Drosophila melanogaster: one gene and its partners. The gene in region 1 interacts genetically with each later gene. Each region holds a gene or a part of one and is shown in the gene's direction. Other genes may lie near its edges. The genes, in order: upd1, Delta, eyg and Csk.

What was found.
Region 2: of upd1 (region 1) and Delta, changing one suppresses a phenotype caused by changing the other (phenotypic suppression), as found in Drosophila melanogaster (2 studies listed by BioGRID).
Region 3: of upd1 (region 1) and eyg, changing one suppresses a phenotype caused by changing the other (phenotypic suppression), as found in Drosophila melanogaster (one study listed by BioGRID).
Region 4: of upd1 (region 1) and Csk, changing one enhances a phenotype caused by changing the other (phenotypic enhancement), as found in Drosophila melanogaster (one study listed by BioGRID).

What each region holds. Positions count from the first base shown.
Region 1 is NC_004354.4:18,303,175-18,310,994, reverse strand, and holds upd1 (unpaired 1), read left to right. Parts: upstream 1-1,703; 5' UTR 1,704-2,186; intron 2,187-2,735; exon of another isoform or gene 2,736-3,258; 5' UTR 3,259-3,395; coding exon 3,396-3,752; intron 3,753-3,827; coding exon 3,828-3,977; intron 3,978-4,166; coding exon 4,167-4,901; 3' UTR 4,902-5,641; downstream 5,642-7,820.
Region 2 is NT_033777.3:19,322,405-19,328,990, reverse strand, and holds the start of Delta (delta), read left to right. Parts: upstream 1-2,773; 5' UTR 2,774-3,452; coding exon 3,453-3,509; intron 3,510-6,586. UniProt on the Drosophila melanogaster protein: Acts as a ligand for Notch (N) receptor. Essential for proper differentiation of ectoderm. Delta is required for the correct separation of neural and epidermal cell lineages.
Region 3 is NT_037436.4:12,460,794-12,470,399, reverse strand, and holds eyg (eyegone), read left to right. Parts: upstream 1-2,378; 5' UTR 2,379-2,781; coding exon 2,782-2,914; intron 2,915-4,235; coding exon 4,236-4,556; intron 4,557-5,236; coding exon 5,237-5,377; intron 5,378-5,502; coding exon 5,503-6,086; intron 6,087-6,297; coding exon 6,298-7,131; 3' UTR 7,132-7,863; downstream 7,864-9,606. Other genes in the region: CG32102 (uncharacterized protein), read left to right, coding at 977-1,243.
Region 4 is NT_033777.3:11,643,233-11,649,454, reverse strand, and holds the start of Csk (C-terminal Src kinase), read left to right. Parts: upstream 1-2,478; 5' UTR 2,479-2,609; coding exon of another isoform or gene 2,610-2,667; 5' UTR 2,668-2,739; intron 2,740-6,222.

The sequences.
Region 1 (7,820 bases):
GCTCCGGGTGCGAATTGCCCTTTTTGTGCCTTGCCGCCCGTTTCCCAAAGGAGAGGTCGCACAAAAGGTGTGCGCTGCCACCTTGATATATGTGATATATGCGAGCGAGTCCCTCTCTGTGGGTTGTGGGTCCTGCGAGATTCGAGTCCTGTGCGTCCGTCCTGCCTTGCGGCGAAATAAAGGCGAGTGGCCCCGCTGCGCAACACAACTGCTTCCTGCAGCAGTTGCTGCACGCTGCACTTACGGTTAGACGCAAGGACACACCGTCCGCTGTCCGTTTCGGCCCGCTATCTGACCATCTACAGCTGTTTTCGGCTGCCCAAAACAATGCGGCCATAATGCAGCAAAACTCTCAATTTAATTAGACCGTCAATTGTGCAAGCCCTCGAAAGTAGGGAGAAATATGGGCATATTTGACATAGGGATGTCCTAGGTAGATGGGCGTCCGGGGGTTCGCCAGTTGGGAGTACCTGGCCCACTGGCCAGAGATTTCACACTCTTCTTCTAGTTACCCACCCAAAGCGGAATTGCGACAATATCAAGCCGAACTCATCGAGATGGTCAAATATCAGCGCTGCGATTATCAAAATAAATAATTTGAGGTGAGTTATAAATGTATCAAAAAATGATGAAACAACTTAATGTTTTACGATTTTTATGTAAATCTTTATTAATTAATTACCCATACGAACAGATTTAGGCATATATATGTATATTATTAACTTCATTTAAACAACTTGAATCATGTCAAATGAATTTGAATGGTATATACATATATAATAGATTGTGAGTGCCAAAATCACTACTTCAGTTATATTGATTGTGGTTCGAACACGTATAAATAATATTACTATAAAAATGTATATATTATGTATTATTATATATATTACTACTGGTATTGAGAAGAATTGTAACTGCACAATTGGTTGATTCCTTAGTGCTTTATCCTATTTTACGCTTTATTCCTTATAATTACTAAATTAATTTTAATATACAAAATATATAGCAATTTACTAGTTGTTAGAAAAAGTTGAAGAAAATGTAATATTGGTTAACGTTCCTCGTGGATAGTTCTCGAATGGATAGTTTACCTGGATTAGCGAGCTGAATAGCGGTGTTATGTTGGTCATTTCCGTTGATCACTTTCTAGACCGATTTGAATGTCAGGACTTTTTGGGAGGGGTGAGCAGGCCGCTCAAGGTCACCCAGAGAGTTTGAGAGAGGGAGAGAGAGAGAGGACCTAGCTGACCGGGCTTAGAAGAGTGAGACAGAGCCAGGTAGGCCTGGTCTTTTGGGGCACCAGGTAGGCTGCCTCTCTTCTTTTCCCGCTCTTTGAGTGAGTGACGCGGATTGGGCAAGTGGGAAAATTCCAGTTGCAATGGCGACCGGCCCAAGATCGCCCTGGTCCGCAGGAGCGAGCGGGATGGCGCGCGAGGACAGCCGGTTGGCAGGCTCAAAGACGGCACCAATACACACTTCGGCCAGGTAGGCGCATACGCACACACGTGCAGGTGACCTGGGAATAGGATACCCCGAATACGATCGGTGAGAGCGGGCGCGGGAGCGGGACAGCCTGCGGTTCTTCGGATCTGAATCTGATCGGTCCGAATCGGCGGTCTTCTTCTGGCTCGGACCATGGCGTACCGCTCGTCGGCACTCGGCGGGCAGCGACGCCGGCAGAGGCCGCTCAGCTCGCCTCAGTTCCCATTTCAGTTTCGGTTTCGGCCTTTTGGCGCTGCTCATCGGTCGGTCGGTTGGTCGGTGGTCGGTCGGTATCGCTCTGGTATTCTGGTATCTGGTATCCGCAGCCTCTCAGCGAAGAAAGCTGGTCAAATCCAGCGCGACTTTGGGCTCAGTTCGGTTTCACACTCGAACGCGAGCAGAAGTGTCCGCGAATCAGTCTCCAAAGCATCGAAATCACCAAATCAGAACACAAACTGAAGCACGGATTTGAACTCGATCTGTGGTCAAGTGGTCTCACAAATATTATATATAAATACATTTTTTTGCGAGTGTTGTGCTGCAAGTGTGTCCATTGAAAACCGCCGGAAAATCAACGAACAACGAATCTCGAACGATCATCGAACATTTGGATTAACGTACAGACTTTTGGGAGCTCAGGCGCAGCACAAACCACGGGGATCCCGCGAGGATCCTGAACGATTCCATTTTTCATCTATAATGCGGTGTGTGTATTATTTTTAATTTGATCAAGACTTAAGAGCAGGCACAATTGGAGAGTGGAGAAGCGATCGAAAAGGATATTTTGGTCAATATCAATTCTCCACTCTTCAAGTGACTTATCAACAAGAAACGACCAACGATCTACTGTTAAGCAAAAAGGACATTCTGTGACAGCAACTGCAATTTTGGGAATTAGGATTAAATTATATAGTTTAATTAATTCGCTCTGCATTAAAATGCAAATCCATTCAGGATATTGTTACTTGTGCGAATCCTTTCCGTTCGTTTTTAGCAGCAAACGATCTTCAGTCTCGAATTTTAATCCTGTCAGATAAAGTAGCTAACTTGAATGGAGAATTTGAAATGTTCAAATTTTAGAATTAGCCCCAAATCCAAAATTCAACCTCAAAAGTTTCCATACACTTTCACACACTGGAAGTTAAAGCCAAGCCAAGCCAGAAGGCAGAGATTTGTCGCCTGGAGAAGATTAGATCCTCGAAACTTGGATCGATACGTCTTCGTTATTCGCTCAGGCTACTCTCGAGTTAATTGTCTAAATTAAAAAGTTTCCCCGCCCTCAATATACACACATATCGCTCTGGAAAAGACAAAAAAAAAAAAACAACGAAAAGCAAAAAAAACCGCAAAACAAACATAGAGAAAATGTTAAAAAAATCGAACCAAATTGTTGAGACTGTTGTCTGGTTGCAGTTGCATTCGCATTGAAGGAGGCTCGGCCGATCATCCGACCCGTAATCCCGATCACCTCAGAGCTCCAGCATCGAAGCACCCGACCACCCAATCCCACCCAGTAACCCATCCACTCCCAAGGGAGTCCAGTTAGTTAACCATCTAGTCAGGGAGGAACAGTGATAGCAGTTGATCGTTGGTCGTCGCGCGTTGTAGCAGAAAATTGAATTTACTTTTGCATTCTCGATACTCATAGTGTTTTTTCTCCACATCTCTTCCCTTCTGACCCCCCATCCCCACCCTTCACATATATCCTATATATATATATTGTAACCCCGTTCGCTGTATCTGCACACTGATTTCGATACGGACCGCGGACAGTAGTTGGTTGGCAGTGCGCTGCGACCACAGCTAAAAACAGCACCACGGCAGCCGGCAACGGAAACGGAAACATCAGCGGAAGCGGTAGCGGTAGCGGTAACGGATTCCGGCGCAGAAGAGAAAGTGGCTACCATGCGGCGATGGCTCGTCCGCTGCTCCTGCTCCTGCCCATCCTACTCGTCCTGCTCCTTGCCGCCCAGTTGCCCCACCTCGCCGAGGGGCGCAGCACCACCAGCAGCGGCGGTCTAACGGTTATCGATAGCGAGCGCCTGCGCATTCGCACCACCTCCAGTACGGCTTCAGCTCAGCATCCCAATCAGGGCACGATCCCTGCCAGCGCCGCTAGTCCGCGCAAGCGCCACAGAAAGCGGAACAGCAACTGGATCGACTATCGCAACTTCGACGAGAACACCACCGCCCTGGAGTGGGCCAATCCCTGCGGTGGCAACTATCATCCCTCGGCGGGTGATCGCTTCAATCGCCAGCGTCCCAGGCAGGTGAGTTCAAACGGCAGCGCTCTTTGGACCCGATCCATATGTAATCCGCTCCCCATTTTATCTGCTTCTCCACAGAGCTTCAATCAGCTGAAGCGCCACGCCTTTCGGGAGTACCGCAGCCTAAACAGTAGCCAGGACTCGGCCATAGATATCCGCAACATGACCATGTGGTCCCTCCACACGCACAACTACAAGTTCCTGCCCAAGCTCAAGCCCAATTCCACGGTAAGCAATCCTACAGTCATACTTTTTATCTATTAACTTAGTTGTCAAAACTAGTTACTAAATCCATCTCGTTATCAACTTTGTATCTATGTATCTTGAAAATAGCTCAATTATCTCGTTATCAACTTTGTATCTATGTATCTTGAAAATAGCTCACAATTGTCTCCATCTTTTTGATTTCTTCCACAGATTGCCCTAAAGCGCTGGTACCGCAACATGCAAACTTACGTGGCCAGCTTTGCGTATCTGAGGCGCCAGCAGATCCGCTGGGATCAGCGGTCCATCACCCGCGAGTCCAGCACCGCCCGCGAGCTGCGCGAGCTGCTCCTGAGCTCGCGGCGCATCCTCTGCGAGCTGGAGACAGCCGTCAACCAGACGCAGAGTCCGCGCCAGAAGCAGCGGCGCAGTGGTGCGGCGGTCACAGCAGTTGGCGGCACCACCATGCTGGGTCAGCAGCTGCCACAGATCTCGCGTCTCGAGATGAACAAGCGTTTGAAGCTGCGCTCCAAGACGAGTGGGCCCGGTATGGGTGGTGCTGCTTCCAGTGCATCCATGGCGGCGGGCGAGGCGGACTCGATCGATATGCGCTTTGTGAAGCACCACTACTACGACTTTTTGCGCACCATGTACCAGCTGCTGCGGCGGGATGGCAAGCGGGTAAGGAGTCGGCCACGGAAGCACCACAAGAAGCAGCAGAGGAGCCAGAAAAAGTTGCTACAGCAGCAGCAGCAGCTGGCGGATCAACTGGAGCAGCGTTGGCGCAGCTCCACCTTGAATGGCAAGGAGTTCAACGAGGTATCCAAGCCAGTGGCCGGTGGTGCTGCTGGAGTTGCAGATGTTGCAGGTGTTTCCGGTGGTGGAAGCAACCAATTTGCACGTGGCAGACGTGGAAAGCGCCAGTCGAAGCGCGTGCAGCGCACGTGAAATAGCATACACAACATTCCCATATCTTTCCATTTCCCCTTACCTCAGGACTCGCCCCTTTCCTCTGTTCTACAAACCCCTAGCCTCAAATCCTTAATTTAACCGTTAATTGATCGATAGTAGCTTAAGTAAATTATTTGATTGACAGCACATAGTCTCTGTTCTCGAATTCATTGCAAGTATTACCACATTCCGTATTTATTGACATTCGTCGAGAGTGAGAGAGAGGGAGAGAGAGAGAAATAGAGAGAGAGATATAGTTATATAGCATACGAAACCACAATCTGCAGTTGCCGTTCTAGTCACATAAGAGCAACCGCCAACCACCACCCACTGGAAAGTATTATTCGCCACGCCCGCTTTGTAGCCCATTCCGCACCCGCATCGAGTACTATGTGACCCCCAGTAGGCTAAGCTAACCCATGGCATTCATGATCATAATTCCATATCCATATCCTTTAGGCTAAACTTTGATCCTAAGGCACACACACACACATTTTTTTTTTTTCGTAGGCTAGCTTGTGTTTCGACATCTGTGATATAGTGCTTGACTAGTTCGTATTTAACCTAATTGTACATATATATTATATATAGATCGCATTGGGGTGGCATGTGGCCGCATCCATGCCTTCGTAGTCCTAAGCTCGCCCTTAGAAATCGATTTTCGTATTTATAGAACCGACCGACATATGACTAAGCCAGCAGCGGAATAAAGCGAACAATAAACTGAATTGAATTTGAAAATAAATCTGGATTGCATTTCATTTTTGGGAATAAATGGTATACATATATCCATTTGGATATACTTAAATTTATGATGGAAAAGAACTTCGTACTTCCCATTTTGAGGTTCAACGTTTTTATCTTATATTTCAAAATTGAAATACCCGAATATCGAATTCAATTCTATATATTTTTATATCTTTTACCATCAAAAACCTATCAACCAACCTATCTTATGTGGCCAACACTTTCGCGTACATTGAATCCCTATACCTGGGGGAGTCAATTACTCCAATTCCCTTGACCCACTTTCTGCGGATTCGCTTTCTGCTGCGCCTTGGATGCGTCTTTATGGCTCCTCCATGGGTCATGGGTTTTATGATCTCCAGCGGCGTCAAACTATTAGCACGTCAGGCTCCCAGTTCCCCTCGATACCGAAACCGATCCCGATCCCGATTCCGATTCCGATCCCCACCTGCTTGTCTACCTGTGCCCAGAAACCCAGAGGAAATGAATGGACTGTGATCAATGGAACCACTCAATGAAAGTTCGCGCCAAGTGCATCAGAACTACATATACTCGTAAAGCTGATCACCATCATCATCGGTGGCATTAGCTCTTGCGGGAATGCTAAGGTGCCGGGATCAGGGGGCAGATGAGCTGACGCTTATCCCCGGGGTTAACTAAAACACGGCTACACTTGTCCTGGTCACCGATTTGCATTGCAGTCTGGAATCGAGAAATCCCCGCTTTGTTTTAAGCGGATTTAGGCAAATTTACTTTTTAATGCCTTGGCTTATTGCCAAGCTCCGTTTAGGGCGCTTAGTGGCAACTTATGGCCAAGTCCACTCGGATTATTAGCGCTCAGCGAACGGAAGCAGACTGCCGTCTACCTTGCGAGTCCTTAAGTGTCCTGGCCAAACAGAGGGAGAAAGGGCAGAGGGAAGGGCAAAACGGAGATGTTGACATGCAAATGGATTAGCACGAGACGCTGAGCAAAAACATTTCTGCATGCATTATAATGCCGCCTAAGCCGTTTATTGATTGCAATCGATCGAAGGAAGTCCAGACTTTAAGCCGCTCCAGGGTTATGGTTTTTATGTTCGGTTTTGGTTTTGGTTTTGGGTACGGGTTCGGATTCGGATTCGGGTCTCTTGACCATAGTCCAGTGTCAAGTGTCCCCTTTTTGGCCTGAGCCCTTTTGGGTAAGTAGGTGTTGTTATGTTTTTAGCTGTCATAAATATTGTAAAACTCGGTAAATATTTAAACAGCGTGCACAATAAAGGCAAATGCCAAGAGGCTCGACGTCGACGGGCATACCAGTATTTCGGTATTTCAGTTTTCAGTTTTCGGATTTCGGATTCCGTTCGGGGCATTGTTTTTGGCCTGGTCATAACGGCCCGGCCGCACCGCCCGACTCTACCTACTACCTGCTCCTTCCTCCTTCCTCCCGGTGAAATTTGAATATGTGCCTGGCCGTGGACGCAGGGGTGCGGTGGACAGAAAAAAAAAAGAAAGAAAAAGATTAACAACATTTAATAACCCATCATTGCGCCGTCCCGCTCCCACGCATTGTGTCGACAATTTTGCAAGATAACTGCATTTGTGCAGTCCTTTGTGCCGGGCCACTTTTTGCCATTGTCCTGCCATTTTGCGCTCCTCTTTTTCCTTTCTTCGCCAACTCACAAATTCCCAATCTCTTTTTGTGTTTTTTATTGTCCTGCGGCACCTTCCAGGAATCCCATACCGTGCAGCGGCCTTCGCCTCGCCAAACTGCGTCCTATACCGCACGAACAGGATGTATCTGTATCTATTTGGTCCCATGTCCTGTTTGCCACTCAATTTGTGCACCCAAAGGCACAATCGCACGGCAGACAAGTGGCAACTCAATTAGGCCATCAACGCAATTATATTGCAATTTATTGGTACGATCAATCCAGTCAACGCGATATGAATATCCCAACATTTCCAGATGATGGATCGATCGGTCACCATGGAATGCGATTCTCGAACTATTGCTGGATTTTAGAAACCTATGCTCCATGTAATATCTATGTGAAGAAAAGGAATGTTTTTTTTTTTGTTAATAAATAAATACACTTATTATTACAATGACATAATAGTATTCCCATATATATACTGAGTTTTCATACAAATACCCTTTGCTTGTAAACAATAAATCGATTAAGCACAGTT
Region 2 (6,586 bases), on another chromosome or scaffold:
GGACCCGCCGAGCGGCTAACAGGGGGGGGGGGGTTGCAGAAGGGTGCACGCAAAAAGGATGGATGATGTATGTTGCGCTTTCAATTTGGAGCAGCAGGACATCTGTTTTTCGGAGTTGGAGCTCCCAGCTCCACGCGGTTACCTGCCGACAGCCAACCGGTTTACAGGTGCTAACTTGGCTTTAAAAGTCGGGAGGGTGGCTAAAGGGGATCAAGGGGCTAAAGGGGCCTTAAGGGGCTTCGGGGGGTTAAACGGCGCGCTCCGGCGATCGAGAGGCTGCCGTTTGACTTTGCCCCACAGCCTGCAGGTTTTTCTTCTCACTGCTCCTTTTCATTTTTTTCACTTCGCCGTTGCCGTTGTTTGATCATAAATTTGTGTTTAATTTAAAAACTTTTCACTCTTCTCATGGCTTGAAAACTCCCGGTGCGAGTACTTTACTGTCAAATTTATTGCGCGAAATATATGTTTGTTTAAATATTGCCATTACAGTTGGACATCTTTATAGTGAATTGGCTTTGAAGATTAAAGTAATGTCTGCAAAATAAACTACACGAATTTAGAAATAAGAGAGTAAGCTGTAGTTTCTAAAAAGATAATACTTAAACATAGTAACACTTTAAATATTTACTTATTTTTAATAAAAGTCAATGATAAAATACATATAAATACATATTATAAAACTATTATTAAAATATGCCAAACTAAAATTATTATTTTAAAATTAATACTTGTTTCTTTTTTCAAATAATGAAGGAATTGCATATATTTTCTGATCACTTTTAAAGAAACTTCACTGTAAAAGGAATCGCGGCGGGAACTTTATAGTCGGACAGGAGAAATTCGGGGTCTTGGTCCGCATTTCCTTGTAAAATTGGGTGTTGACTTGATTGGTTTCGTTTTCTGGGGTCTCCTGTCTGGTCTCCTCCTGGTCTCATGCATATGCAAATGTCCCTCGTTCGATGCAAATTAATGAAGACCGATTTTTATTGTACAAATTTCAACAACTTTATTTCGCGTGAAGAGAGTTCTGGCCATGTTATTCTCAGCCCTTTGCCTTGCTGACCCATTTATCAGACCATTTCAATGAACTGCTGTTTTCGAGTGATTTACAATGTTTGATCAAAAAATCGAATCAAATTAATCTTGCTCTTTTCGTTAAGTAATTGGATCAATTTTTAACGAAAGTTTGGATCCAGAGACCACCGAAGAATCTAATGATTTGTTAGGAATAATAATAAAATAAATAGGTGTACAGACTTAGCATTTTTACCTTAAGATTTTTACAGAATAGAATGGAAGTACAAATTGGAAAATCAGGCCAGCTATTTAAAATTGTAAAGCCAAAATGAAATCGTAGTAGGCGAACACATCATATTCAATCTATTTTCATAAAAATATTTAGTTTAGCTCGATTCGGCATCGTCGGCAGTCCTATATCAACTAGAAAATATTTGGATTCAAAAAAAAAATTTTATTTTTATTTTTTTTAATATTCGTTGAAAATAAATGCAAGTATTAAAAATTATTACTATTACACAAAATGCTTAGAACAAAATTTATTGATTTTGAAATATTGTTTGGTTATATAGTTATTTATCGTTTATTTCAATAGAGATTCTAGTTCATTTGGTTATTGTGGAGCAAACATATGCAACGCAGTGAAGATGTTATCACAAGATGGTATTTCCGAGCCAATGGATCTTTGAGGCAGAGGCTTGTAAATATTTGTACATTCTGATCATATTTAATGAGATTCCAAACCTTTAGCTAGATGGTATCTTCAGCAATTTCCACCGAGCAGCTTGGACAATTAATATGTAGTTTATGGATCCTCTTTCAATGAATTTAGTATGCCCAAACTCGAAGGAGTTTCACCTCCATAAGAGCGACAGTCCTGGAGAAGTTATCAGAGCCAAAAAAATTCATATGATGATGCATTTTCCGTCTCTGAAAACGTCTTCAGCAGAAGTTGTTTTTAGCGAAGTGAAACTCATTCGATTTTGATCATACTAACGACATTGGATGCTTGGATCGGCAGTTTGGTGGAATATAAATACCAAGACCCTAAGACTGATGACGTACCTGCTAATGAAGATGATGGAGATATACTTGCATGCCAATTCAATAAGTTATAAGCACCCAATATAATAAAATTCAAATATTTATATTAAATACAAATATCCATCTTTAATTTTATTTTTGGTTCTCATCTTGGCAACAATAAATGTTGCTAAGCATTTTGCTTTCAACTTTCGCGTGAGCTGAATCGGTAAATTGAGCGAACCGGGAATCAAATGTTGCTAACGAAATGCTTACAAGCCGGTATCCAACTGGTATCTGAAACTGCTAGCAAAACGGGGAATCAAATGTTGCTAACGTAAACGAATTGAATTGATTTGTTTTATTTTAGATATAAAAATAAAAGTAGAATATCTAGAAATAAAAAATCCGAATTTTGAAGATTATTTAGAGACAATCTTGGAAATTTGTACAAATAAACACCCGTCCGGTTGAAGTTAAACAATATAATAAATTCTTATATCAAAATAAACTTGGTAATGTATATTGAAATTTTAAATAGTTTTTAAAATGTGTAAGTTGACTATTTATTCAAAACGGTTTGTTGCATTGCATCTGCTGAAATGCACTAATTTTGCCACGGAACTCGTTTTGAGAGCGAAAGAGAGAAATGAGAGAGCGAGTACGTTTCGTGGTATTTTTTAGTACGATTCGCGGCGGTGAAGGTGAATAGTGTTTTGGTCGTGGACATGAACGGCATTACGTTTTTCAACTCGGCCGCGCGAATAACTCGAAAAAGGCAGCTCCGCAGCCAAGGCATTTTGAAAAACACAAGTCCCCGACTCGAAACGCGACCAAATATTCGGTGTGTGACGCGAACTGCCAATGCAATAGTTCACTTAAGAATTGCAGATTACCGCGACTCTGGGCAGTTCTCATTCGATATTTGAATGTACCAAAAGAAAAGTGCCAGAACCAGAAATCAAAATAAAAGATCTTCTAACAGAATAACAAGAAGTGTTTCCTCCGAAAGATTAAAAAATCGCGAATGATTAAGAATCGCGGCACCGTTAGTTCCCTCTCTCGCTTTTCCCTTTTGCGCTTTTCTGCGTGAAAAGGAGAAGACTCCGCAGTTCGCGAAAAGAGCTTTTATTTCGCGACACTTAAAAATAAACACAGTCGAGGAAATTGCAACAAAAAATGTGGCGCGTGCACGTGTAGCTTGCAACAACGACAACAAGAAAACAACGAAAATGCTAAAAGCGAATTGCAAAACCATGTGCGACAAGTAACCAAAAAAAAAATTCAAAACATAAACACAATAAACAATTTGAGTAGTTGCCGCACACACACACACACACACACAGCCCGTGGATTATTACACTAAAAGCGACACTCAATCCAAAAAATCAGCAACAAAAACATCAATAAACATGCATTGGATTAAATGTTTATTAACAGCATTCATTTGCTTCACAGTCATCGTGCAGGTGAGTTTCAGTCCCAGGAAAAGCGCTCATTTTCCATCCAACAAGTTGTATTTTTTGGCAATTTATTTTCTTTATTTCTACGCGCACGCGTGCACTCACCGCTGAATTTTGCAGCTGGTGTGTTGTGCGCGCATGTGTGTGTGTGGGGCCAAAAGGGAAGAAACGATTGAAGGGTTGCCAGGTTACTAAATATTTTAAAACTTTTGGGGTTCCGTATGATCATCTCAAAATATCTATTTTGAAACCACTCCAACATCGCGTTTGCTTCCAAACTTATTTTTCAAGCTGGTAACCCGAGAACTTTTGGGTAGAAACAGCTGAGTTGATATTTTAAGCGGGTTGGCTTTTAGGGGTGGAAATTGTGGATCGGATCGTATCACCCTTTTCGGAACATGCATACATATTTCATAGAGCAAAACTAGTTTGGAAACATGCGAGGCCAATGCCCAAACAGGTCCATCCCCAAAAAATGGTTTAATTCTAGTACACAGCGGAAAAATATGAGGCATACGTTAGAAGAAATACCTTCAAGATAATTTTTGACATGCAGATCAGTTCAACTTCTTAGAAATCCTACTATGTGTACTAATTGTTCTCCGTGTAAAAACAGAGATGATCCAAGTCTGCCTCAACGTCAAAATTTACCACCAACGGCGTATGCATCCAGAGCAGCAGCAAAAAATGATAAAACTGCTCGATTTCAATATGAGGCTATATAGTAATGCTGTGCTACAAGCCCATGCTAAAAAGTTGATGATGCTGGGCAACATCTGCCGTTTTCGCCGTCATCTCCTCCTCTGTCCCTCCGCTTTGCATGCGCTTTTTACATGCGATTTTTTTCGGTTTACTTTTCGCTCTGCGTAGGTCAACGCGACACATGCTCAGCCTCACTTGCTCTCCCCTCCTTGCGTTGTTTCTCTTCTGTCATGCTTTCATTGATCTTTAACGCCAGCATCCCCTGGTTACACGGATAAAAAAAAGAGTTGTGCAGGGTTTCCAAACAGTGCGATCTCTAGAAAATAACACTAAATATTTTGTTGTTAATGTGTGGGTTAGTTTCAAAGATAAGAAAATATTAAATTATAATAAATCTTGACCATACATAGTATGTGTACATAGTATACATTTCATAGTTCAGAACTATTTAGCTACGAAGAAATTACAACTTAGATCCACAATATTAAGCTGATAGGGAGCTCTTTATTGATAATAGTACCCATTTACTCACCGTGCACCCTGCATGTGCTCCAATCCTCTACCGCTCTCCGCACTTCTTGATTTTCTCCCAACTTTGGCACGTTGCGTGCTTAAACTTCACTCTTCGACCAGCTTCTTTTTGCAGTCTGCTATTTAGTCGCTAATTTTAACAACGTCCCAAAAAAGTGTCTCGACGCCAACCTCCTGGGGTCTTGGGACTGCTGAAAATGCTCCCCGTATGTAGGCAGAAACATCTGCCCAATAATTCTGACTCATTTCCTTACTTACTTACAGGGAAAGGTGGAATAGTTTAATTTGTCATTTAAAATAATATCTCGGGCAATTAGCTTGCCATTAGCAATGCAATTTAATTCAATTTTCTGCCCATTCTATAAGGTATTATTCTCACAATTTCTTGGCCCTTTCTTGTCCCATGCTGCGTTTAAATTTCAATTTAACTATCAAATAACCGTAGTCGCCTTGTTTTCGCATTTATGCAATTTTCATATTAACATTGAGCGTCGAAGAAGTGAGTGAGTGAGCGAGTGAGTGAATGAATGAATGAATGAATGAAGACTGGGACTCGTGGGGGAGCACTCGTAGTCTTCTCGGCTCTGCTCTTTCTTCGCATAACATAATTAATTGCAATTTAGAAGCCAAAGAGGAAGACGACGACTACTCCCACACAATGCGATGGATGATTCACTTGCGCTTGTAACTGTTTCCCAAGCCCGTTGTTAACGGTTGATTATGATGATGAATTTAAATGATTAATAAACAACATGCAGGGTAGGGGCACCAAAGCAAACACCTGTAGGAAAGTCGAGGAAAAGTCGGGGAAAATTATAATAAAAATGCGTGCTTTCATACATTTTTATGTCCCCTTGTGTTGTTTTAACTTCTTCCCTGCTTTTTTTTCTACAACAACTGTCTGTCAGTCAAGGCAAGTTGACGTGGAAATGGCAAAAAATGAAAAGAAACGAAGAACTAACTAACTAGTCGCTTCAAGCCTCAGTGATCGCAGTAAAAATAGGAGTAGTGGCCAGTAAAGAGAAAGAAAACGAGAAACGGAGACAAAGAATGGCTCAAGCAAAAGGTAAACAATGCAACGCACTATTTTCTAACACTTTAACAAGTGTCTGTCTTCCATTTGAGAGGTTGGCAGCTCCAGCTTTCAAGTTCCACCTGGCGAAACCCCCTCGTAGATCCCCCCCACAAGTTTTACCTTTCGGTTATTCAGCCGCTGTGGAGTTCATAGTTGAAGGCAAAGGCAAACAAAAAGCGGAAGGAGAACCATTACCAGTGTACATATGCCAAAGTTATGAGGCGGATTGTGCAAGGTGTAACTGAGCATTCAACATTTTGGAATTACGATAAAAACAGTCGGAAAAGTTAGATCAAAGAGAAATATATTATATATTTTACGTTATTAGAACGAAAGTTATGTTTTTTAAATGCTAATTCATCATATTATCTACTACTTGTCCCTTTAAGAGCTTGCTAATACTAACCGCATACTTGGAGGGACTTTAAAACAGTGTGAGAAACTATAACCAAAATTGGTGTCAAATGGTGGACAAAACTATTGTGGTTTTAACGATTGCACTTTTTGTTTTGTTTTGCTTGTGCTTCCCACCATCTTTAGAGTGTGTGTGAATGTTTGTTTGGTGTTATGCAAATTGATTTGCTTGTTGTTTTGTCTTGCTTTTTTTGTGTTGTATATGTTGTGTCAACTTCTGCGCCTTTGTTTGTGTGTGCGCTTTTCGTTTGTCCCATTTTGTTGTTTATAGTCTAGTTTAGTTTGGCTTTCCACTGGACACGCCCCCCTGCCCGCCGCCTCCCACCTTTCTAACCTTCCTTCCACTCAATGGTTTTTCTCC
Region 3 (9,606 bases), on another chromosome or scaffold:
TGCTTGATTGTTGAAGTGCCACTTGATGGGGCGAGGGCGCACGCTACTCGCGGGGATTACACTGGCCAAAATTGGGATCAAATGGTTACGAAATATGTATATACCATATATAACACTATTCCATAGAGACCATTGATTCAACTCTTTAAATATTGCTATAGATCTTGAGTAAACTAGTAAAAAAAAATCGTAAAAAATATTTTTAAAAATTTCAGACTTTAATTAAGAACTCTTACTGTCAAGTTAAGACAAAAAAATGTTGTAAGAAGATAATTCTGTTACTTTAAATTATCCCAGAAAACAATGGAATGAAAAATATCTCAGTGCTGAAAGGTTTCTTTGGTTGCTGAGCAATATGGGTCACCGGTTTACGCAATTTCTTACCGTGCAGCGATCGGTATCCAGATATTATTTACTTAGTAAATTATTCCTGTTCGATTGTTTGCGTTTGCTCTGGATCTCTGGCATGAGGGCACTCGAACGTCATCGTCAGCAGCGTTTCATTCATGATTCGCCTTTCACAAATCGAAGAAACATATATGCACGAGTGTTCGGTGCATTGTGCACTTTGCATTCGAACAGACAAATAAATACAAAGGCAGTTCTGATCAGCTTAGTGAGACATCTCATTATCGCCAGGTGATTCTGCTGAACCATATCGTTTCGCATCCAGATTTCTGCACTCGCTCCTCTTTCCACCCGATCCCATCCCATCCCAACTGATCTCATCCCATCTCATTCCATTGGGGAATCATTTCAGGTAATTGCTTTTTAACTCGACTCTCAGCTTTCAGCTTTCATCTTTCAGCTTCCAATTCGAATCCTGCATCGCCGGGAGCCACTCAATCCGTGGGCTTTGATGCAATTTGGCTTCTGTGCAGGCCACTCTGCCACTTGGTGTAGCCCGTTTCTGCCCCGTTCTGTTCTGAGAGTTGCGAGCTGCGAGCTGTGATCTGTGTGGCTCCCCGATCACGCCATGTGTAGTTTAGTTGCAGTTTCGATTCACATCGGATTGCCTTGCCCAGGCAGCACATCAATCATCCATCACGCACCAAAGGCCGGGAGACAACGACCCAAAACGGGCAGTGCAAACCTGAATGGCAAACGGCCCATGCCACGCATGCGATTTATACGTGTCCAAGGTTCACTCTGGATCGCAATGGATGCAATTTGGCCACTTCACTGCACATTTGACCGGATTAAAATTCCTTTCAAATGGCTATATGCTACTAAGCTCTTTTAAATTGCAGGCATTTTAGTTATTGTTATTTAGCGATCATTTTATGTTATCTTTCAATGCAATAAACGATTTAGTTTGTTTAAAAAGGACTTTCAGGCTTAAATCTTCTTTTAATAAGTTTATGTTTAAAAATCGAGTTTTAATTGCAATTGGTCAGTTTAAAAGCGGAATAGTAGTTATGAAGTCCACAAAAAGGAAGCAATTTAATGCTTTTCTGTTTTATTATAATGCTAATGTTTATATTTTGCTGAGGTATTATTTACCAATTATTTATATATATTTTTTTGTCTTTCTCCTGAGTAGAATCAAATAAAAAGTAAAACAAACATACCATACTGCCATTTTATTGATACAATATTACAGCTATTTTAATAATTTCGAAATAAAATATTTTATTATTATTATTTATTTTAGAAGTGTAAGCAAAAAGCCAAACTTCTTTTCAGTCTTTAGCCTTAATTGTTAGAGATTATACATATGCATGAACTTTTGTAAATGTAGCTCATTTGTACACAGATCGATATGATAATCAAGAGTTGGTATTTGAAAGTGCCTACTTATTGGGGCCATGGTCTCTGGCTTAAAGTAACGATAAATTGAATGCATTACTCAACAGTAAAGATTACGAACTAAATGTTCCTAAATGGTACAATTTAAGCTGTACGGTTAATTCAATCAATTAGAATATTACATTAGGCGAGAAATGCACCTAAAGGTTGACTTCAAACGTGCTATGGTATCCCAACTACATTTGTAGTTAAAATTAAAGGGTTCCCCAACTCCTCTTTCTCTTCTTATTCTGGTTCTTCTTCTTGTCACTTCCCCAAAGCGTTCGCTCTCTCTCACACTCACTGCTCTTCATTCGTCTGCTTCTTCTTCTTCTTCTTGCCACTGTTTATACTCAGCACTTTACCAACAACGAGTTTATAATTGTTTGATTTGTGTGCGCGCATAGTGTGCATGTGGTTGTCCCGCTCTCGCGCAGAAGAGCGAGAGAGCAAGAGTTTGCCTCAACGGGCGCCATTATGAAAGTACGGTACTCGTAAACCGGTTGGCGTTTCGAAAAGCACTCAAAAGCGGAGTGAAACTGTTCGAGTGGAGCGGAGTGACCCGGGTGACCAGGTGAAATTCAAGCGCTCATTGTGCTGAGAGCAGCTTTCGCGTGAACAACGTTTCAACGGAGCGCAGTGTTCGCAAGAAATTCGATAAAAACAAATTCTATAATAAAAATAAGAGCAAGAGATACGCAGGAGCGTTTTCTAACTGTTTCTGTCGGGATCGACTGTCGTGCATTTGTCACTGTGTGTGTATCTGTGTGCGTGTGTATGCGAGTGTGTGAGTGAGCAGCACGCTATGAATCCAATTGACCGCATTGCGTTTCCATTTCCGTTTCCGGTTGCATTCGCTATAATCGATACCTCTGCCTTGGATGTGCGACACTTGTGACTGTGATTGTGTTATACCCAAATAAAATTAATAAAATAAACAAATATAAAATAACAATAAATAATAAAGAGAATTGGAAAGAGCGATTCTTAGACATGTTGATTGAGCCGACTTTAAACCGTGACCTTGGCTCGCTTACTGTCGCTAATTCTGGCCTCTCGGCCGCGCACTGGAAAATGGAGCCCCATCCCCAACGCATCACATCGCTGGCCCCTCACGCTTCCAGTGGTAAGTGCCCCAAAGTGCCCATGTGAAGTCTTGCCGACGGCAAAGCCAGGCTTGGGGATTTTAAGAAAATATACACAAATCTTCAAAAAATAAATCCGAAACTGGGTCAAAGGTGTAATATGTCATTCGATAGCAAATCCGGAATGTTCGAATTTTAATTTAAACAAATTAGTTCTTTCGCGATAAAACCTAAAATCTATTATTGAAATTATGTATAACTAATAACTAAGCATCGTTTAAATTAGTGTGTTAAAACGGTGTTTCGGTTAAAGTATTAAATAAAGTATCAAACTGGGTCAAATGTGTTTATGTGTAATTCTTAACCAGATCCATTTAGTTTGAATATAGTTGGTGTTAACTTTTCGCTGTAAAACAAACAATTTTTTATTTAAATGGTATATGGTAGATAAATTATGTAAATTATCAAATTGATCATACAAAGGTCTATGTAAAACTAACTTTGAGTGCCTTTTTATTTTCTTAAACAGAAGATAAAATAAGTGTGATCCTTTATAATATTTCTAGTTTAAACAATGTGGGCCATTTATAAGAAAGCGATTAAAATTTGTCATGTTCGTACTTAGTATGTTCATAACAAATGTTTTATGTTATTCCAACTTAAATCTTCAGTTAAAACAAACACAAATCGTTACGCATGTCACATTACCAATTGCGTGGCTCATTTGACAGTCCCATTTCCTTGCTTTTCACCTTTAAATAGACCGAAATAAACAAAACTGGTTCTCATTTGATGGGCGGCACAATTGATTATGGGCCCATATACTTACATATATGTATATTCAGTTAGGCACGACTGGAGGTGCGCGTATTTTTTTAAAAATATTTACTTGACAAACAACAAAAGTGAAACGCGCATTTAAAACGCTAATTGACAATTTGAGCGACGAGTTGCCCAAGCCGAATGATATATGTAGGTTTTTTAAGCGAAGGCAAATATAATATTCTGTCGAATTAACGTAATACACAGTTGTTTTTCTACTTGTTTTTTGCTTTCTTTTCGTATCCAGCTGAGTACATATTTTAATTTTCGCCTTTTGTACTAAGAGATCATTGTCGTATCAATTAGCTTGATAAATCTGCTCGTGCCTGGAAGATTCGATTGCGTGTCGCCACCATTTTGGCCATTCGATCAGCTTAGACATTTGCTGGGGTAATAGAAACGCTAATATATTCGTAGGACCCATCAGTCATTTCGGTTCGGTCAACACAATTAACGCTTAATTTATCATAATTAACCATTGTGGCCGCGACAGCTAAAGCCACAATAAAATAACAATACCCAATTATCATTCAATTGCAGTAGCGGCGGCATCCGTGGCAGCAGCAGCAGCAGCAGCAGCGGCAGCGGCAGCAGCGGCGGCCGGAGCGGGATCGGGAGCGGTAGCCGGTGGCGGAGGGGCCACATCCACATCACCCACATCTGTGCAAATACCACCCGGCTTTGGCGGCGGCGGCTCCACTGGCGGCATTCCGCACGGTGCAGGTGGACCCACGGGGAGCACATTGAACACCCTGATGTCACAGCATCGCCTCCTGGAATTCTCACGTTTCGGTGGACTGCGTGGCTATGACATTGCCCAGCACATGCTAACCCAGCAGGGAGCTGTCTCCAAGTTGCTAGGTGAGTTGTGAGCCCTTGAAAGGGACGACCGCTCAGTTTCTCAGTTCCTTCCCTCATCAGATAACTAATGGGTACTTTGTTTTCGATTTGTTTGCTAATTTTTATGATAAACATGTTATTATCCTGCGAGTTGCCCCTACCATCCCCTGCGTGGCGTATCCCTCGTGTGCGCAGCCGTGTAATTTGGCCACTTAAAATTGCATAAACTCCTGACTGGCGGTGGCCAAAACGCGGCTGGCTCATTAATCAAAATGCGGCTTATTCACGAGCGGGTATTCCTTGGTGGTAGTGTTGGTTGGTGCGTGCTGCCGTGCACTGAAAGAAAAAAATGCTTAATTCCAAATAAGGATATGTGATCACATTTATTCCATGTTTAGAATTTTTTAAGTCTTTTAAACCCGTCATTACAGTAACTTTAAGTAGTTAAAATCACTCATTTTTAAGTTTTCCAATTCTTGAGCTGCTCTGGTTTCTACCAGTGTATTTGCCAAGGCTTGTATTGTTTTCCCATTCATATTTTCCATACATCACATGTTGATGAAACGAGCAGATAAAGATATTAGCAACCAGGGTTAATCCTTGCTGCCAGCCAAAAACAGATGGATTGCCAAAACCAGGCTGGCAAAGTCATAAATCCATTGTCTCATAATTTAACTGGAATTGTGCTCTGATTCTTGCAGGCTCGCTGCGACCACCGGGCTTAATTGGTGGCTCAAAGCCCAAGGTGGCCACGCCGACGGTCGTCTCCAAGATCGAACAGTACAAGCGCGAGAATCCAACGATCTTCGCCTGGGAGATACGAGAACGCCTGATTTCGGAGGGTGAGTGTTCCACATAATTGCAGCTAATCCGCGGACGCAGATTGAACGCTGATTGATCGGCGGTCGCTTTTAGCTTTTGATCTCGATCTTCGACTGCTCGGTAATTGCGTAATCCCGCCTTGCAGGTGTCTGCACTAATGCCACCGCTCCATCGGTGAGCAGCATCAATCGCATCCTGCGCAATCGAGCCGCCGAGCGGGTGGCCACCGAGTTTGCTCGCACCGCCGCCTATGGCCTGTACCCGCCACCCCCTCATCCGTACGGTAGCTTCACCTGGCATCCGGCCGGCAATGTGCCCGGCGGCCAGGGGGTACCACCACCGCCACCTCCATCCGCCCTGTGGTCCGTTGCCGCTCCCACGCTCGCCAATCTGCCTCCGAGTGCAGCGAGCGCTGTGCCCGTCTCCACTTGTGGCTCCCTCAGTTCGGCGCACTTGATGGCCGGCGGAGCAGGTGGCACACCAACCAATCGGGCCATCTCCCCTGGCTCTGGCAGCCATGATACCTTGGAATCAGCGGATGAGAACCGGCACATAGACTCCGATTATCTGGATGACGATGATGAGCCCAAGTTCAGGCGGAATCGGACCACCTTCAGTCCGGAGCAGTTGGAGGAGCTGGAGAAGGAGTTCGACAAGAGTCATTATCCTTGTGTGAGCACCAGGGAGCGGTTGTCCAGTCGCACCAGCTTGAGCGAGGCAAGAGTTCAGGTGAGTCAGGTGAAAACAAAGGCTTCACTCAAAACTTTCAAAAAGCAAGATTAAAAGTGGCTAGTAAAGTAGTTACATACCATTTGATTTAAATTAATGAGTAAATCAATACTTTTATATCAGAAATTAGAGTTACCTCTTTCAAAGCCAATTAACCAAAACCTCAAATAACTAATCTTTATTAAATATCATTTATTTCTACCCTTTCCAGGTGTGGTTCTCCAATCGCCGGGCTAAATGGCGTCGCCACCAACGCATGAATCTCCTGAAGCGTCAGCGCTCCAGTCCCGCCAATCCGCTGCACTCGCAGCAGTCGAACGATGCACCGGCCAGTTCGCCCACGCCCAGTAACCACAGCAGTGCCTCCACCTCCGCTCCAGTGGCTCCCGTGCCGCCACCTCAGCAGCCGTTGCCCCTGTGCGGTGACCACTCGCCACAGGGTCCGCCACCTTCGGTGCTGTTACACCCACTGCATGGTCCTCCGGGCGGCCACCATCACCATCATCCTCTGCACCTACCCACGCATCCAGCTGCCCTCCAGCTGCTCAGCCACTACCACCAGCAGCAGCAACAGCAACAACAGCAGCAGCATCAGCAGCAGCAGCAGCAACATCATCAACAACAACAGCAACTCTCACCCAGTGGATGCAATCCGGCGGCGAATCACCTCTCCATGGGCGGGGAGCGTAGTGCCTTCAGGAGTCTGGTGAGCTCGCCCTCGGCGGCTGCCTTCCTGGGATTGGCCAGGCAATATGCCGTGGCTGCATCATTAACGGTCGCCGAGGAGCAGCGCTCCAGATTGCACTACTCCGCAGGTGGTTTGGGGAGCGGTGGTGAGGGCACGGGACCCAATACCAACACCACTCAATCTGGCGGCTCAACCATGACGGTGGACAACTCGTCATCGGACTCGGATGAGGAGATCAACGTGCACGACGATTCCGATGGTGAAATTGAGTCGTCGGCGGCAACGGCGGCAAAGGTGGCTCGCCTGTCATCCTCCGATGCGCCGGCCACGTTGCAATTCCTAAAGCATGACCGCTAGATGGGCGACATGGGCGACAAGGGCCACCTGGTCTAGATGGGCGGCGGCAAAGTCTAATTGAAAACCTGAGTTGTGCGCGCCTCTGTGATTGACAGTGGCAACAAAAACAAAAGCAGCAAAAGCAACAGCAACTACTGATGCAATTGCAATTGCATTTGAAATTGCAACTGGTGGACTGAAATACGAGAAGCGACTACACACACAGTGGGCAAACAAATCGAAAAACCAAAGTTAAAATGCTGCTCACCTACTTGGCTGCGGTTCGGGGTCGCTAGAAAAAAGAAAAAAAAAACTAAATAAAAATAGAAAAAAGTAAACAGAAAAATGTAGCAGAAAGCAGCAGCAACAACATAATGGGCGGCTTAAGATTAGCTGAAATTGTAACTAATACCCGATACGAACACGCTTGTCCCACTTGAAATGCACATGCCCATTGTATACCCTATAGTTATGCATAATTATACTATAATACTTGTTCATTCGCCGGCTGCCGACTTACCTCATCACCATTTAAGGCTATAGCATATGCAATATCTAACTATATGTAACTTTAAACTTTAAAATAGTCCTAAGCCAAATCTATTTATGAATGCGTATTGTTTAAGGATTTGATTCTTGAGTTGGTTGCGTTTGAACTGATATTTAGTGCGTAGACTAAGTGTTTTTGGCTCAAATAAAAGAAAAAAACTAAAATGGTCAACCGCTGAGTGAGAAACCAATAAAAAGTGCAAGAAATAATGAAGAATCGTTTACTTTCTTTCGGCAATAAACAAACAGAAATATATGACCAGGAAATCGGTTTGTATAGACTCGCTTTGGTTTGACAACAAATACAATTTATACGTTCGATTTCACGCATAATTATCCATTCAAACACACTGGGCAACAAACAAACACACCAAACACGGCCGAAAAGCATAAATAAGCATTTAACAACACTCGAAAGCTTCTTAAAACGTTATTAAATATTAATACACCGAACGAAGACAGAACAAAAAGCCAAACGAAATCGAAATCAAAAAAAAAAAAAAAAAAAAAAAAAATCCAAATCCAAAATACGCGCATAGAAAACGCTTAAATTTCGAACGTAATGGCCAATATGTCCAAATCTGGCTGATAACATCGACATTTTAATTATAACCAAATGAAGCCGCGCGCACAAACACAGTGGGGACAGACTAAACGCGACGAGGAGATGAGAATGGATGGTATGGTTTGGTATCATATGGTATCGTATGGGGACCGATTAAAAATGCCGAACCAACTAAGCACATAAATCAATGTAAATTATGGTGTTAACAAAAGGCGAGCTTGCAGGCTTGGATTGGATCCGATCCGATCGGTTGGAATGGGATCGGTTTGGATCGTTGACTTTTGTAGGTTGGTTAACCGGGTGGATGCGCGTCTTTATTTCTGGCCTGGCCGAGATTTAAATGAGCTCCTCGCATCTGATAAGCGAAAGAGCGTGGAGCACCATTCGTGTCGATACTTACAGCTCCGAACGGAATCGGGATCGGGATTGGAAGTTGTGGACTAGGGGGTATTGGGGGATTTGAGAATTTTGGGCTCGGGAATGGTCATCGGGTGTCCACAAATTCAATTTGCTTGGGCTTTTATGAGCAAATGGCCCAGCCCCATCTCCATCGCCATACCACCAATCGACTTATTCTAATTTAGTGCGGAGCTCTGCTCGTGAGCATTCCTTTAATAAATTTAAATCACCTTCTATTGAAAATATTTTCACCTCGGGCCCATAAATTATACATTATACGATATTTATACAGTCTGCGCCACGTCTGTGCTATATATATACATATATACATACAATATATGTATATTCGGCTTTTATTTGCCTTTTGGGTTCGCGCTCATTCAGTGATTTCGTTTAGTGTACTTAACTTTGATTTGACGGCCTGGGGATTCCATCAACGTGATTTTCGGCTCCAAGGGATTCGCTGGAGGATGCCTTGGTTTGATGGACCAGGGCAAAGTGGCGCTCTCATGAGCGCCATATAATCGCGCAGTCAAACATTTTTACGATGCAGCATCTCAAGCTCGTATATCCAGCAACCTCGACGAGCTGATCAGTTGGCCACTTGATGGGCCACGAGGATCCTGCAGATTGTCCTGCAACTTTGTTGCCAAATCTTTGTTGCCCGCTGTTGGGTATGAGCAGTTTTTATTGTCTTGGGTTGGCGGAAATCGATGAACTTTACCAAGGCTCCACCGACGGACTCGAAGTACACAGATAAAAATTTCATTAAATAGAAATATGATTAATACGATATACCTATAACTTAAAAAATCATTTTTATTTGAACTTATTAGAATGAATCTGCCATTCTAATTTAATCAGTATTTATCAATAAAAAGTGTCCCTCCGACAACATTCAACATTTTCTATACACAATTTTTTCCAGTGCATGTGTGTCTTTTGTGCCTCCATTGGCAAGGAGCCGGTGATAAATCTGTTGG
Region 4 (6,222 bases), on another chromosome or scaffold:
ATAAAAAAAATCACAAATACTACGCATTTTGGTTCGTTCCAATCAAAGCGAAAACAAAAACACGTTTTACAACTTTGCGGCGCGAAATTCATTGTTGTTGTGTTCGTTTTTTATTTTTATTTTTTGAATAACAAACACATGCACAGGCACACGCACACGCACACACGAAGTTATATACAGAAATGCTCATATATAGATATAGCCAACAATCGGGCCATGAATGACCGAAGCGATGCGTACAACAAAACCGATAGCCACAGTAGTAATTAAAGGCAATAACCGAAGCGTGGCGCATCGTAGTTTTTGTTACGGGTTTCCGTTCATAGTAATGCCTTTTGTTGTTGCTGTCTTTCGGTCAGTTTCTGCGTCGTCGGCAAAAATTTTCGGTCGCTGACGTCACACCTAGGCGCCACAAAGCTCCCCCCACTACCCACTGTCATCCCCCCCTTCTCCCTCTCTCTCTCTCTCTCTCTCTCTCTCTCCGGGGTTCTATGTATCCCGTTTGTTTGTGTATTGCAACATGCGTGGGCGTTATACTCCAACTGTATCGGTGTGAGTGAGCAAGTTTGGCTGTGTGAGGTCAGTGTTGCGTGAACTTTTCGCATTGGAATGATGATGTACTAACTTTTGGCGCCCACTGTTCAATATTCCCTTTATTGCGCCTATTACGACTATCTATCTCTGCCCATTTTCACTTGCGCTAATTACGCCGTTGCATGACCACTGTACTCGGGACTGATTGGAATGCTAATTGGAATTTGCAATTTTATTTATTCCGATTGGTCATACGCCATTACTTCTAGGGCTGGGCAGGTGATAGAGATAGAGATATATATTCAGTTCAAATTATATATTAGTCATATTTAGCGATGTCTAAAATAATTACGTGAATGCCTTTCTATATGCATTCCATTGTGGCTGTCTAATATACATATAATTTTGACTTATTGAACAACTGCCAAAACATCTGATCCAATTTAAACCGTACGAAAAAATACATTTCCCTGAAGAAAGCCTAAATCCATGCACCGTTCAACAATTTGTTTACGTTGACTTTATCGTATTAAAAAAAGGCTATCGACCATTTAATCTTATCATCAAACAGCTGGAATATGCATTTACGTTTATCTGGGAACGCGGTGCAGAAATGTGTACTTTATGTTTATCTGGAACCGTTGATATATGTAGATACATTCATATGTTTCGCATTCTTGAAATTATTACTTTCCTCGTTTTGTTGCCCAGCGGACACATTTTCTTCGCATATTAAAGGTTATTTTTTCCTTGCCATCTGTTTGTTTGTTTATGTTGCTTTTGCGGGTATTTTTAGCACAAATCCCTCGCCTTTTGATCTACTTGCCATTCGGGTTCGCCAGGCAAATTCGCTGGGAGAGCTGGTGCATGAGCACGGTTCCGACTTGATGCTAATTGCTCCGCAAATATGCAAGAAATGTAAAAGAGAAAAATCGGAGAAAATCACGAACTGTGCAACTGCAACTGCAATTGGAACTGCAAGCGCTGGATGCGAAAGAAACAATAAACATTTTGATGTCTACATTTTTGCAAACAACTGATTCGAGAGCGGCAACAAATTGCCTGGAAACGGAGACGAAAAGTAAACATGCAAGAGAAAAACTATTTGCCATACAAGTCGTTGGGAAAAGGAGTGTGGCGGGGGGCACGGGGTTTGTGCGACCAATAATGGGGGAATTAATTAACATGGCCAGCGGCGGCAATTAGACCAAATAAACGAAACAGAAAGGAAATCGATCCGAGTCACAAGCCTCCAATGTTGCTGGATGTGTGTTTTTACAAAGCTGTGATCGTTTTGCCTCTTGAATCTCCGATATCACAAAGTGCACTGTGCGTAATGATTTTAATGAATTTAAGGTATAAATATGTTAGGCTTATGTAGAAAGTACAATTTGATATATATAATATAATAAATTATATATGTAAGTCTTACAATTTTTCTTTAGTTTTTACTTGGGATCGCTAATAATGCGATTAAATAAACTAAATTTCTTTTAATTAAGTTTTCCCGTGTAAATATAGGCGACCGCAGAGTGGGTTACTTTTAGCTAGGCCAAAAGCGAGACCGCAGCAGCTACTTGAATGGCCAAAATCGGCCTAATGAGTTGGGCAACACATGTTTCGATTTGACTTCCATAGCGCGACGCTGCGAAAAGGAGAACCGTCAGTCGGTGGCCAAATGTGCAACAGGTGGGCGATCGCATGCGAGCGACTGGTCTTATCGCATGCAATAAATGCACGATAAAGAGAAGAAGCCGGCTCACAAAAACACGAAGAAAATCTGAGACTGAGCTTCGCAAGCGGCGCTCTCTTTCTCTGAAACTGAAACTCGGAGGTTGATTTTGTGTTTTTTTTTCTTTCGTTTCATTTTGTGTTTTTGGTTTTATTTATCGTGACTCAGTCGCGGCGGCAACTTCGTGCATCGCTTTTCAGTTGAAAACTTGCAGGCAAGGCGCGCGGTCGCGTTTCGATTCAAAAATCGAATAGTAAATAGAGAGAATAGTAAAAGAAAAAATAAAAATAAAATCGCTTGCCACGCATGCGCAGCTCATCATCGCGTGTGTGCGAATTGGCCAATGAGTGAATCGATTGCAATTGGCTTTTTGCAATACATAATAACAATAAATTATGACGGTATGCAAAGTGGCCTTTTTTTGATAATCCGATCCGTTCAGCGAAAAGGCACAAAAGGCGAACTATCGTGATGTAATACCGCGCGAATGCGAATTGTTCATATCGCTATTGTAATAATTTAATAATTAATTATACAGGCGGGAGCTATTTTTCGGCTTCGCCTCAAGGAAGTGATTAATGCAAAACATTATCAAAGTGCGAAGAAAGTGAAACAAAAAGCGCTGAAAGATCAGCATGGCTTGAACATACGTATATACTCGAGATTTGGTGGCGCAATGACCTTTGTGTGTTTGTTGTTTGATTTTATTTGCCATGTTGGGGATGTTCGCTTAATTATGGGTTTTGGCCACATGTATCGGACATTAGTATGAATCTGTGTTTCGAGTGTGTCCATGATTAATTCAAAATTGCTCAAGGCATGCACGGTCAAAACTGAAGTTGATTTTAGGGCTTACTGGTCAAAGTCAGGCTTAGCTTTCAATTAATTATGTAGTTAGACTGCTACAATTAGTTTAAATCTGATTAGGATTTTCACAAGACCCCATATCGAATGCCGAATTAATTAATTTTAAATTAATAAAGGGCTGTTTTGGTTGCCCAATGATTTTTGCACAAGGTGGCCTTTAATTGATCTGATCACCTTTCTAAAATCATTCAAATTCAAGCTCTTCGCCAAACCATGTAATTTTTTCGTGTGCAACTAATGAAGACGATCGCGTCGCGGCTGCATATTTGATTGTTTGAAAGTCTCGAATGAAAGTGCCTTGGCAGCATGTTACTGTACTGTACACTTCCCTCCCCTCACCGATTACCACTTTTTTTTTTTTTTTTTTTTTTTTTTTTGTTTGCTTCGGGCCAACTTCAATCACAGAGTGCTAATTGTTTTCTCAGGTCTCCGTGGATTGAATTCCCCCAGTCGACAAGTTCCCATTACTGCAATTTCTTCGCTTATTCTGCCATTCTGCTCGCTCTCTAACTGCACTTTTTAATCCGATCCCAAATCGCAGATCGCAGATGCAACTGCGGCGGATCGAGCGCAGCTGATCTCGAAATTGCATGAATCACTCGGCCTAAAAGACCCTCTGCACAATCGATTTGCACGCTAATTTTGGATTTGGCGACGTGCAGACACTCGACTTTGACAAAATAAAAACTGGAAAAAAATAAAGACTGCAAATTCGAAAACATTGTAGGCTGGCGTGTCGGGGCATTTTCAATTTTCCAGCGCATTAGTCATCGCCGGTCTAATCGGCCAACAAAAAACTAAAGAAAAAAAAAAAAAACGAAGAAAAAAGCAAAACCGGAGCCTTAAACTGTAACTAGTTTTTTCCAACGCTCTCTGAGCTGAGAAACTAATCCGTCGTCCTGCATGAATCTCGCACTGAAATTTGTATCTCCAAGCTGGCTGGACCAAGTGAAAGTGGACAAAAAAAGAAATATATATGTAGAAATAGAGAAAAAAAGACTTCAAATACAACTGCAGCAGACGCGTGAAACAATTTCTCATATTTTTCTTGGCTCCCCGTACACTTCGGTTATGTGTTTTCCATCCACTTATTCAATTTGCCATTCACTGCACACAAGTGAAGACGAGCTTAACCCCCAAACTGGCCGAAGATGTGCCCCCAAACCCTCCAAAGCCCCCCAAAGACCACACTTAACACTCGAAAGCCAATGGCGCATTTCATTTCTCGGCTTTGGACTCTTTCGTTTTCTTGTAATGCGTGCCAGGCACGTTAAAGTAATTGTACAAATTAATTTATTAATTAAGCCACTGGCCGGAATGGTCAGAAACAATAGCGAATGCTAAATGCTCTTTGTCTCAAGTTAAATTGCCGATCATTTGTTTTTTTTGCTCCAAGTCAGAGCTGCCGTTTTGGTGAAAAGAGGAGGGTATTCATTCGAGAAACTTTCACTCTCCGCTTGCCAAAATTATGTATGCAACAGGTATTGCCGCAAGGTTTTAATAAAACCTATTCGAAACGCAGCTCCAAAATCCCCAACGCTCATTTCGAGGATATCCGGACCAGCAAACTTACGCATCTCGACCAGGTTCAAAAACCCGACCCATTGTCTTTAGCTCTTCTGTTTTATTTTGGCTTTTCTCCTCGCTTATTGCCCACTTTGTCTCAGTCTCAGTCAACGGTTTAGACTTTTTTGGCCTTTATTTTGATTCGACTTTGTGGCGTTGGCTTTTCATTTTGCATTTCGTCAGCGGCGACACAAACTCGTTGTGTCATACATAATTCTGTTATTGTTTTATTTAATTAGTTGCGTTGTCTTTCTTGTGCGGTGCGCTTCTTTGGGCGACCGAACGCTTTTCCCACTCCGAAAAATAGAAACACTCCATCGTGCGGAGAATTTCATTTGGCCGCCACCGTTCCTTTGTGGGTCATGATAAGCAATCACTTTCCACGTGCCCAATTCTGGCTCATTTGAATAGTTAATTGTAAGTTGACATTTACCTAGGAAAGTTCAAGAAAGTGAAGATGCAGTGAATGTTGGCAAATATTTGGGAATTCTATGATAAAGATTAAACTTAAAGCCAACTGATATCCTCTTCCCTTCTGCCCCTTTGTATATCCATAAGATGGGCAAATAATTGAATCCTGCTGCTTACAAACTAAATGGCAATATCAGTGCAGAAATATCTCTTTTCCCCGCCAACTTTCCCAACATTTGTCACCTGTCTTTAGGGGATAGACAATAGTTTTGCTTAGCTCACTGCGCAGTCGACGTCGACTGCGAGGTTCCCACGCCCAAATTATTTGCACAATATGTAGCCAGAGCTCTCCAGTGAATTCCAATTCAATTCAGGCGGCTGGTTCGTGTTTTCCCAACCCAGAGAAATAAGCCAACATGGAATGCCGAACCAGCATTTGGCCCAACCAGCATTTTTCGCTGTTTGTGGAGCACTCCAAGCCATTGTCGACTATTTCAGTGAGCCGCTGACAAACCGTTAATGTGGCGAATTGACTTGCTGAGGAAAAAGCTAGCCAAAAGCCAGTACAAAAAAAAACAAACATATAGATGGCAAAGAGTTGTTATTATTATTTAGTTATTCCTCGCAATGAAGTCAATTTCTGTACGTAGCTCGGTTTTTTTTTCATCATCTAGTTTTCAACCTTTTCCATCCAGGCCGGGCTTTTATTCCATTCCTCTTTGTTTTTTTTAGCTTGAATTTTCTCTTTAGAAATTTTCCATTTGCGCTTTTTTTTTGCTAACAATTATCTGCCCTGGTCTTTTCTATCGATTCCGCCCAGTTGTCCATTGTGGATGGAGAATCGACGTATCCACATGCTGGCCGATGGCAAATCGAAGCGCTTACAGAACCTTAATTAGTATTATTAGAAACGAAAACAATTTGCCCGGCTTTGTCCACTACGGACTGGGCATTAGCCTCGATTTCAGTTCTACAACAGGCTGAAATGGCGAATTTTTATGTTTGTACTATCTGCTACTGGGCACCCACAATGGCATCCATTAGAACCAACTCCCATTTTGATTTCACTATGTGTATATATTGATAATTAGATGGTAATTGGAAAGTATTGG